Cricetulus griseus: one gene and its partners. The protein of the gene in region 3 purifies or fractionates together with the protein of the main gene of each other region. This does not show direct contact. Links are inferred from orthologs where the notes say so. Each region holds a gene or a part of one and is shown on either strand. Other genes may lie near its edges.

Evidence for each region.
Region 1: the proteins of Cops5 (region 3) and Cops7a purify together in Homo sapiens (affinity purification with mass spectrometry; 19 studies listed by BioGRID and IntAct, counting the BioPlex papers as one, with this or other methods). This does not show direct contact. The link is inferred for Cricetulus griseus from reciprocal best matches to the Homo sapiens genes COPS5 and COPS7A.
Region 2: the proteins of Cops5 (region 3) and Klhl15 purify together in Homo sapiens (affinity purification with mass spectrometry; 3 studies listed by BioGRID and IntAct, with this or other methods). This does not show direct contact. The link is inferred for Cricetulus griseus from reciprocal best matches to the Homo sapiens genes COPS5 and KLHL15.

Annotation. Positions count from the first base shown.
Region 1 is NC_048601.1:21,457,400-21,460,029, forward strand, and holds the end of Cops7a (COP9 signalosome complex subunit 7a), read left to right. Parts: intron 1-187; coding exon 188-293; intron 294-446; coding exon 447-598; intron 599-767; coding exon 768-807; 3' UTR 808-1,650; coding exon of another isoform or gene 1,651-1,678; 3' UTR 1,679-1,976; downstream 1,977-2,630.
Region 2 is NC_048604.1:75,724,188-75,727,844, reverse strand, and holds part of Klhl15 (kelch-like protein 15), read left to right. Parts: intron 1-879; 5' UTR 880-886; coding exon 887-1,591; intron 1,592-3,657. UniProt on the Homo sapiens protein: Substrate-specific adapter for CUL3 E3 ubiquitin-protein ligase complex.
Region 3 is NC_048595.1:150,156,468-150,160,124, reverse strand, and holds part of Cops5 (COP9 signalosome complex subunit 5), read right to left. Parts: intron 1,293-3,657; coding exon 1,144-1,292; intron 1-1,143. UniProt on the Homo sapiens protein: Probable protease subunit of the COP9 signalosome complex (CSN), a complex involved in various cellular and developmental processes.

The DNA of each region.
Region 1 (2,630 bases), on a different chromosome or scaffold from region 3:
TACTCCAGGGGGTTTGCTGATGAAAATACTGTTGTAGCTGGTTCCCGGGTGCCTGGTGAGGGCTCCCAGCCTTGGCAGGGGTTTCGAGTCCAGCTTGGAGGCTTGCTTTTGAGGTTTTGTTTTGTTTTTAGGAGTTTATGATCACAGGCCTCTTCTGCTAACACTTCATCTGCTCTGATTCCCACAGGTGTGTAGGCTGTGAGGTCGTGCTGTCCGGCATCGAGGAGCAAGTCAGCCGTGCCAACCAGCACAAGGAGCAACAGCTGGGCCTGAAGCAACAGATCGAGAGTGAGGTAAGCAGGTAGGGAACAGGTCAGCTACAGCTACTGCCCTGGGCTCCTGGCCTGTGCACGTGCTGGATGTGGCTGAGGCAAACTGATAAGATAATCAGGATCTGTCAGGTTCTGGACCTACTTTGCTATCTGCCATTCCTTTCATCCTGATAGGTTGCCAACCTTAAAAAAACCATTAAAGTTACAACAGCGGCAGCTGCTGCAGCCACTTCTCAGGATCCAGAACAACACCTGACCGAGCTGAGAGAACCAGCTCCTGGCACCAACCAGCGCCAGCCCAGCAAGAAAGCCTCAAAGGGCAAGGGGTGAGCCCGTGCGGGGAGCCGCTTGCTTCTGGGTACCCCACATTTACCTCAGGGGCCTCAGCCTGGCTGCTCCACTTGCTTTAGTCATGTGCATGGGGTCGGGAATGGGGGTGTCCTCCAGGAATTAGGGGACCCCTTGCATCCCCTCTCTCTCTCTTCCCCTTGCCAGACTCCGAGGGAGCGCCAAGATTTGGTCCAAGTCGAACTGAAAGGACTTGTTTCTTCCCTGGGAATGTGGGGTCCCAGCTGCCTACCTGCCTACCCCTTAGGAGTCCTCAGAGCCTTCTGTGCCCCTGGCCAGCTGATAATCCTAGCTCATGACTTTTCATCTCCTCCACCCCCAAGCATAAGCCACATCCCCTATAGGGAGAAGGCCAGTCCAGGTCACGTCTTGTTGGTACTTGTTATGTGTTCCATTGCCTCTCTTCCCTGACACGCTTGCTCTCATCTTCACTCGGCACTGTGTCTGCCCATTACCCACGTCATCAACCAGGTTGGCAGTCCTATGGAGGGTGCTTTCTCTTCGCCACCCACAGGTGTTCTCTACCACGCCCACCCCTGCATGCCTAACCTGCAGTTCCTCCTTCCCTGTGCCTATTGGGCTGCACCTGAAAAGCTATTGGGAAGGGTGTCCTCCACCTTCATCCCAGCCTTAGAGTTCTGGAGCCAGTCTGCCATTCTGGGAGTCGCTGAACACTTTTCATCCCAGAATCCCATCACACTACAGTTGTTTCTTGTCCTGTCTCATCTCCTTGGGCCTGGGAATACTGTTGCTTCAGTGACCCCAGAGCCCCAGAACAGCTATTTTTGAGATGTTAAGAAATGGTTCTTTGTTAGCTAATCATCTTAGGAAACCCAATGGAAATCCTGGAATGATTTGTATTTCTTCTTGTGATTTTGGTGGGGAAGGGAATATAGATTGTATATTAAAAAAAAAAAAGGTATATATGAATAGGTCTATATATAACATGACACAGAAATAAATCTAAGAGAAATCTGTGTACAAAAATGCCAGGAACTGGGCCTCTTCTGTCTTTGATGTTTGTTAACAGGGAGAAGATCAATCCCAGTCCACTCTAAAGCCGAGTGCTGGGAAGTGAAAAGAACCAGATACTGTTTGCAGACTCTTGACTAGCAGCCAGGAGGCCTAGACCCTGGACAGATTGCTCCATACCTCAGCCCATGTTCAGAAGTAATGGGCACCTCCTGACCACCACCATGTCTTAACAGTGGAGATGCAGACTGACCATCACTGTCCCTACGCTCCAGGACCTGCAGTGTAGCCTGTTTCTTTCACCTTGTAGAATTACAAGGGGAGGTGTTGGTAGGGAATTTGAAATTTCACATTGAAAACGCATAAAACTATTAGCTTTGTTGATCTTTGGCCCTTTTGTCCAAATTAGAGTTTCCCAAGAAGTATGGCAGGAGATCGGCCTAGAGCACTGCTTGCTTCCTAGAGGAGGGGAATGCAGTTGAAGGTGGGCAGTTGAACCCTCACTTGGTGTGAAGTGTTGTCTCTGAGGGGCCTAGTGGGTCTGGTTGACTGGGCCTGTTGTGTTCTCTAACTGGGGATTTAGGAAATATCTCCTTTTTAAAAACAATTTTTTTTTGATAGGGATCTCTATGTAGCCCTGACTGTCCTTCCCTGTGTTGAGCAGTGGAGATGCTAGTCCCTGGCCTAGACTCACAGAGTGCTGGGATTAAAGACATATGCCACCATGCCTGACTATAGATAAATTACTCTTAACTGCTCCTAGCAGTCATTGGACTATAAAGTAGGGACAGAGTCCTGGTGTCTTGTTTTTGTTTGTTTATTTGAGGGTAGTTAATGGTTTTGAGACAGTCTTGTGCATTTCAGGCTAGCTTTGAACGCGCTATGTGGCTAAGGATGACCTTGAATTAGGACCCTCCTGTCTCCGGCTGGGTACTGGGATCACAGGTGTGTACCACCAAACCTGCTTTAGTTGTCACTCTTGGTTTCTCAGCTTTGTCCTAGATAAGCTAGTTGATTCTCTTGCTTCTGAAGTAAACA
Region 2 (3,657 bases), on a different chromosome or scaffold from region 3:
GTTTTAAAGAGTGTCTTGTTATGTAGCCTTGAGTGGTTAGAACTTAATGCAATCCTCCTGTCTCTGCTTCCCGAGTGCTGCTTAGATTGTAGATATGTGCCATATACCCCCAAAGTGTCAAGCTTTTGAAGTTATTTTTTTGTGGACAAGGAAGGTCTGTCTTTGTAGCCCAAGACAGCAGCTGGTCCAGAACTTGCTGTGTAAATCAGGCTGACTGAATTCTCGGCATGCTATGTTTATCACCCTCCCTTACACCCCTTTCTCCCTGTTTCCTTTTCTCACTCCATCATGTGCAGGCTGGCCTGGAACTCTGGATTAGAGTGATGTTTTTCTTTCAGCCTCTTGAGGAGCTGGAACTGCAGATGCATGCTACTGTGCCAGATACTTTATAGTAGTTTATTATAAATAGTTCTAAGAATTTTATCTGCACAACTTGGCATGTTTATCCAGTTACTTACTTTGGGTGAATTTCTAGGAATTTTCAAATTTGCCTTTTTTTTGGTATAATTTATTTTCTGGTTTTTGTTTTGGCTTTTCCTTAACTAGGTATTTACTTATGAAATCTTTTGTACTCCTAATTTGGGGGCATATATATATTTGATGAATTGCATAAAGCAAGTCAGATGGCCGTGTATTGTTTGTAAGTTAACAGGTTACTATAGTTTGATAGATATATCTTTAGTAGAGTCTTTTCACCAGGTTTGAAGCTAAAAGCATTAGCTTGGAAACTTTCATACAAGGTTGCCTTCTCTCTAATGGTTTGTATACTTTAAGACTTTGGCAGTAAACCTAAGATATAAGAATTGTTACAGTTTTTAATAATACCTTCTGAATCCATTGTGATGATTAATACCATTTTCTTTAATTACTATTTTCCAGGTGATTCATGGCAGGGGACGTGGAAGGTTTCTGTTCTTCCATCCATGACACCAGTGTCTCTGCTGGGTTCAGAGCACTGTATGAGGAGGGATTGCTTCTCGATGTCACTCTGGTTATTGAAGACCATCAGTTCCAGGCCCATAAAGCCCTCTTGGCCACCCAGAGTGATTACTTCAGAATTATGTTCACAGCAGACATGAGAGAACGCGATCAGGACAAAATTCATTTGAAAGGTCTAACAGCTACCGGTTTCAGCCACGTTCTTCAGTTTATGTATTATGGAACTATAGAACTGAGTATGAATACTGTTCATGAAATTCTTCAGGCTGCAATGTATGTTCAGCTAATAGAAGTGGTGAAGTTCTGCTGTTCTTTTCTGTTAGCCAAAATCTGCTTAGAAAATTGTGCAGAAATTATGAGACTCTTAGATGATTTCGGTGTTAACATCGAGGGAGTCAGGGAGAAGCTGGACGCCTTTCTGCTAGACAACTTTGTGCCACTCATGTCCAGGCCTGACTTCCTGTCCTATCTGAGCTTTGAGAAGCTCATGTCTTACCTGGATAATGATCATCTGAGCAGGTTTCCAGAAATAGAGCTGTACGAGGCTGTGCAGTCTTGGCTGCGACATGATAGACGACGATGGAGACATACAGATACTATCATTCAGAACATCAGGTTTTGTTTGATGACTCCATCCAGCGTTTTTGAGAAGGTTGGTGCATTTGAAAGCAGTAGACAGGACTCCTCATTTAGTTAAAGATGTTGTTATAGATAAGATTCCAGAGTTGGTCAGGAGTCAAAAAAGGAGTAGTTTATAAGAATATTTTATATATAAGAAGCTGATGTCTTATTATGTCTTATGCATTTAGGTGTTTTTACAATACATTTTGTGGGTGAAGGATAAACCAGGTAGGTAGTAGAATAGTCCCACCTTTAAAGTACTTTTAAGGTAGGATTATGATGTGATGCAAATATTACAAATTTGCTTTAGCTTTTCTTATTATGAACTGGGTTAGATTATTTTTAAAAGTCACTTTAAGTAATCCAATGCTAGAATTGGCATTGAGGATTTTTACAATTCTACATGGTGCATATATATTAAATGTGTTTTCTTATATTTAAAATGCAGTAAGGGCACATACAATAGCTCTTGATGACCAGTAGGCCACTGAGTGATTGTCTTCCATACTCTTGATTATTACTGTTTCCTATTTCACTGTGAATACTAACTAAATTTATTAATGAAAACGAGATATATTTCTAAAACATTTTGATATTTCCAAACTAGTAGACCATAAATCTTCTATGTACATTCATCAATCATTCCTGTGTACATTTTACCATGTAAATGGTTCTATTTTAAAATACTTTCTCTAAAACAGCCTTGGCCTTTTTGCAAGCATCTTCATTTTTATATCAGTCTCATTTGTGATCCATTCTTGCCCAAAGGAGAGAGAGCAGCTTCAGTAATTGCTTAACTTAATTGGTTTCTAATCACATGGTTAACTCTGGGGCTCTGTTTACCTCTTGCATCTTTCCTTCTTTCTAGAAAGCACACAAAACTCGGTCAACAGACACCCTTCATGTTAAAACACTCAGCTTTAACTAACTGTGTGAAAAATAATCTCTGAAAAAGGAGGTTTGTTTATGCCATTTGATAAATAAACAAATTTGCACCTTTGAATAACACTCAGCATCCTGGCATGTTTTTCTCCCCCACCTTCTGAACTGCTATGAAATGTCATTATCTTTAATAGAGAATTTTATGGAATTTTATCTTTATTCTCAGAATGTATTAATATGACAAATAATTGAAACTAAATATATTTGTTTTTGTTGAGTAAGAACCAGCCCCACATCAACTATGTAAACCATTTGCTGCTTATGTTGTAGATTTTTTCCTACCTTTACTATTGTTTTTATTGCTCTCTTTCTCCAGGGATTCATGTTTTGTCTTTATACATTAAATGAGGATGCTTTCTTGCTGCTAAAACAGAGCCCCCTTTTGCCCAATTTCAATCTAGATTGAAATAGAAAGTATTTGTGAAATAGAAAATAAAATTTCATCTCTTGTGGGACAGTATAATGGTTAACCGATAGCAGTTAATTTGTAAATGCTGAGCTGTTAGGCTAGCCTACATTTCAATTATCAGTTCTCAAGGTAGGCAGTTGTTACAGTGGCTAAAAGGTAATGCTATTGGATAGTTAACAGTTGAACTTGCTGATGTCCTTTTCCACCTATGGCATAACAGTGGTTATCCCCATTGGCTAAGTATGTGGTTTTATCAGGATAAAAATTGTATTAAGGCTTCTTTCTGGAATTGCTTTCTTAGGAAGACTTAAGACCCAGTTGAGAATTCTTCCTTTTTTTGTAATATAAAATCTTTCACTTCTACTTTAATAATACTAGTAAGCTTGCCTTCATAGTGTGTGTTTTAAGTTTATCAAAGCAATCTGTGACTTTTTAAATGCTGAGATGCATTTAAATTATGTAGATTAGAGGCTTTATCTCTAGAAATACAACTTTAGAAACCAAACCAATATGGAGAATTTGGTTGGCAAATACATATTTAGATATGGTTTGGCATGGTGGCATATACCTTTGAGCCCAGCACTTAGGCAGAGGCCAGATGTGGAGAGAACCTGTCTTAAAACAAAGAGTTTAGTTATCATACATTTTATATTTCTAACTCCTTGAAAATAGTATCCATATATTTTTCTTATATTCAGAACATTGCAAATCCCATACAGGGGCATTAAAAAAAAACATTGCTCATA
Region 3 (3,657 bases):
CAAAGGAAGAGTTCTGTAAGGAAACTTTTACTTCAAAATGAATTGGCTGGGGATATGACAAGGGTAGAGCAGCAGCAAGGCCACAGTGCCATGCCCAGCACTGAAAACAAATGCAGACACATTCATGAGTTCACACACTGAGACAGCCAAAGCCAATGTGTGGCCACTGCACCTTCTGAAAGAAGGCATGTTTCTTGTTTTGGTTTTTGGTGCCAGGGATGGACCAGAGCCCTATGCCCGACAGGGAAGTGCTGAAGTGCTGAGCCACTGAGCCACTTTCTCCACCAGGATGAGCTGAATGAGGTACTTCTAACTCCAGTGGCAGGATAAACTTCACCTTCCCCTCCCTTCTCCCTACAGAACAGTGCTTTTGTTTGTTTGCTTTATGCTCAAAGACAACTTCATTAGTGTTAAAGAGAAAAACACAGTACAGGTGGAAATCCTGGCAGACACCAGGAGATGGAGGAAGGCTCTGCTTTTCAAGTTTGGCAAGGAGTAGAAACAGCTTATGAAAAAGGAAAAAAAAAAACATCCCAAGAGTGGAAATATGCTATGAACTGAGGGAAGACAGCCCCCGCCCTCCACCAAACAAACCAGCTTATAACTGCCCAAATATTCTCTCTTCTGCCAGTATCAGATTAAAACTTGAGGTTTTGTGGCAGTAAATGTTAGTGTTTTCAACCCGTACATTCTGTCATCAATGGTCACATTCTCATCTAAGTTATCAGAGACCACATCCCAAGGAAATAATTAGCAAGTAAAACATGAGATACTAAAGTGCAGAAAGAACGACTTAAGAGAGAATCTTTTCCACAATATTCTGGAATCTGAAATTTGGCAAATTTAAGAAATGTTAATTCTTCAGAAAATGTTTAGTCGAGGAAAAGGGTAAGCATGCTTTTGGAAGCCCTTCCCCTGAAAAAAGATCTAGTCAGGGGCCAGCTTTCCTTGTACACCATGTGGCTATGGTATTCCTAGATCTTTGAGTTGAGCTTTCTATTTTGCCTTATGTCCCCTAAAATTTGAAAGTGTGATAATACTCAGGCATTTCCCAAGTTGTAGCTGACTGAACCACAGGATCAGGATTTACTTCCTGTAAATTTTGAGAGAAGAGTAGGGCAGGACCTGCACATGAACACTTACCTGTCTCTAGTAGCTTTGGCAAGTTTGTCTTCTGATTTCCGATCGTGTGTTTCTAAACCCAACATGAAACTCCCTCGTCCCAGCTGGGCTTCTGACTGCTCTAACTTTTCAGACAAATCAAACACCTGGCCAGTGGTATAGTCTGCATTCTGTGGAGAAAATGGTGTCATGTCATTTCACAGCATAGGCTCATCATGAAAATATTCTGTTTTTTTTCCAGGGCTAAGCCTGCCTTCAGGGACATGTAGATATAAGCAAGCACTCCACTACAGCATTATACTCTCAAGCCTTTGTATTTGTTTTGAGACAGGGTCTTGTTAGTTGCCCAAGTTGGCCTTACTCTATTGAGGAGCTGGAACTATAGGTATACCACCCATTCTGTCCAGCCCCACACCCCCACTGCCCAAGATTCTACCCACTCCCCCACACACTTGCTTTTATTTTTGAGACAGAGTCTCTCACTACAAAGCGCTGGCTGTCCTGGAACTTACTATGTAAACCAGACTAGCCTTGAACTCACAGAGATCTGCCTGCCTCTGATTCCTAGTGTTGGGAATAAAGGTGTGTACCACCATACCTGGCTAAAAACCCAATTTTTTTTTTCTTTTTGAGACAGGGTTTCTCTGTAGCCCTGGCTGTTCTGGAACTTGCTGTGTAGACCAAGCTGGCCTCTAATTTAGGGATTCCCTCTGCCTCTATCTCCCGGTGCTGGGATCAAAGGCATGCGCCACCATGCCTGACAAAATCCACTAATTTTTATGTAAATTAATTTAACATTCTATATCTAAATAATGTAAAGATGGATAGACAGTGAAGAAGTTAGGTCATAGCTATAAAAACTGCTCCTAAAATCTACCAATTTGATTTTAAAATTTTAGAACCTAATTTCAAGATTAAATGTGTTATTTTTTCCTTTGCTTAAATCAAGTTTTGTCATTATGAAGGCTATGAGGAATGCCTGGACCACGCCTCCTGGAACTCTTAAAAATGGAAGTAGGTGGCAATGATTTCCACCTTAAAACTCTAGGACTGTCCAGGGCACCTAAGAAAGGCTTAATAATTATTAGCTAGTTTTGTGACTGTTCTTATCAGAGTATTGCAATATGTCCTCATTCATACCTACATTTGAGGATCTATTACACATACCATTTCCAAATATGTATGTATTTTACAAATCACCAAATTACACCTCCAGGCTTAATTGTAATATTCTCATTTTATTTGTTTTGAGACAGGGTGTCAAATGACTCAGGCTTGATTACAGGCATATACCACTATGTTAGCAAGGGCTAACTGTAATATTTTTAAAAAGCTGCTATGAGATGTCTTTTTAGTTTTAATCTAAAACTGGCAACTATAAATGTAATCAAGGCAGTCTTGACTATAGTATGAGTTCCAGGCTAGTCAAGGCTATATATAAGGCAAGGCCCTGTATCAGGCTGGTGAGTCAGCTTAGTAGTAAAGGCACTTAATAATTTACACTCATCCCAACTATTCATGTCCTCATATTGCAATGCTGGAATACAGGGAAAGTCAGTCACAGGACTAAGCAGGTATATTCAACTGCCTTTATTGCTATTGTCTTAGAGTTTTCTCTCCCTGCCACCAGGTGTCACTTCTGACTATAAATATATTTGTCTCTAAGGGAACAACATACATAAGACACTTAGCAGTGCTTGGCACACGGGATACATAATATTTTCTAGTATGATTGCTTTCCTCCTTTATTTTTGTTTAAAACAAGATGGCCCCATGTGGCCCAGGCTGGCCTTTAGCTTTCAGCGTGGTGAGGAAGACCTGGAACTCCTGATCCTCTTGACTCAACCTCTCAAATCACAAAGACTGGCATTATAGACACACGCCACTGTGCCCAGCCTGCTCTCTTTTTAATTCTGCTACTTCTAGTAATACAGATCTTGTCAAAATTATATTTAAAATAAATAGGGCCAAGGGAGTCTTTCCAAGAATATAATGCACCAAACAAAACACTAGTAATTATTCATCCAGACTTCATTGTAAGCCAGGCACTTGCTAACTTTGTTATGACTTATGTAAAGTACCTTAGTGTACTTAGTAATACTTACAGTGTCACTGCCAACATTTTACACCAAGGCTCAGACACTAAAACTGGATGTGAAGCACATGCCTATAATCCCAGCACTCAGAGAGGGTGGGGACAGAAAGAAGTTCAAGGTCATCCTTGGCTACACAGCAACTGCAAGGCCAGCCAGGACCACAGGAAACAAAAGCTGCCCTAAGTTTTAAATATGTACCTATTAAATATATATCCATGTAATAAGCACATTAGATTTTAAATGATGTATCAGGACACACTGAGTTAATGCCTTTCTTTGCCTGGTATTTATCATCAAATTGATTTCCACGACCTCCTTCTCCAGCTTAATCCCCATGCTCCTCAAAGAGTTGTTTTCACACCAGCCCAGCAGTTAGCCCTTGCCTTGGCCCAGTCACTCATCAAATTTGTTGCTCTGCCCCATGACATGTCTTATGGAT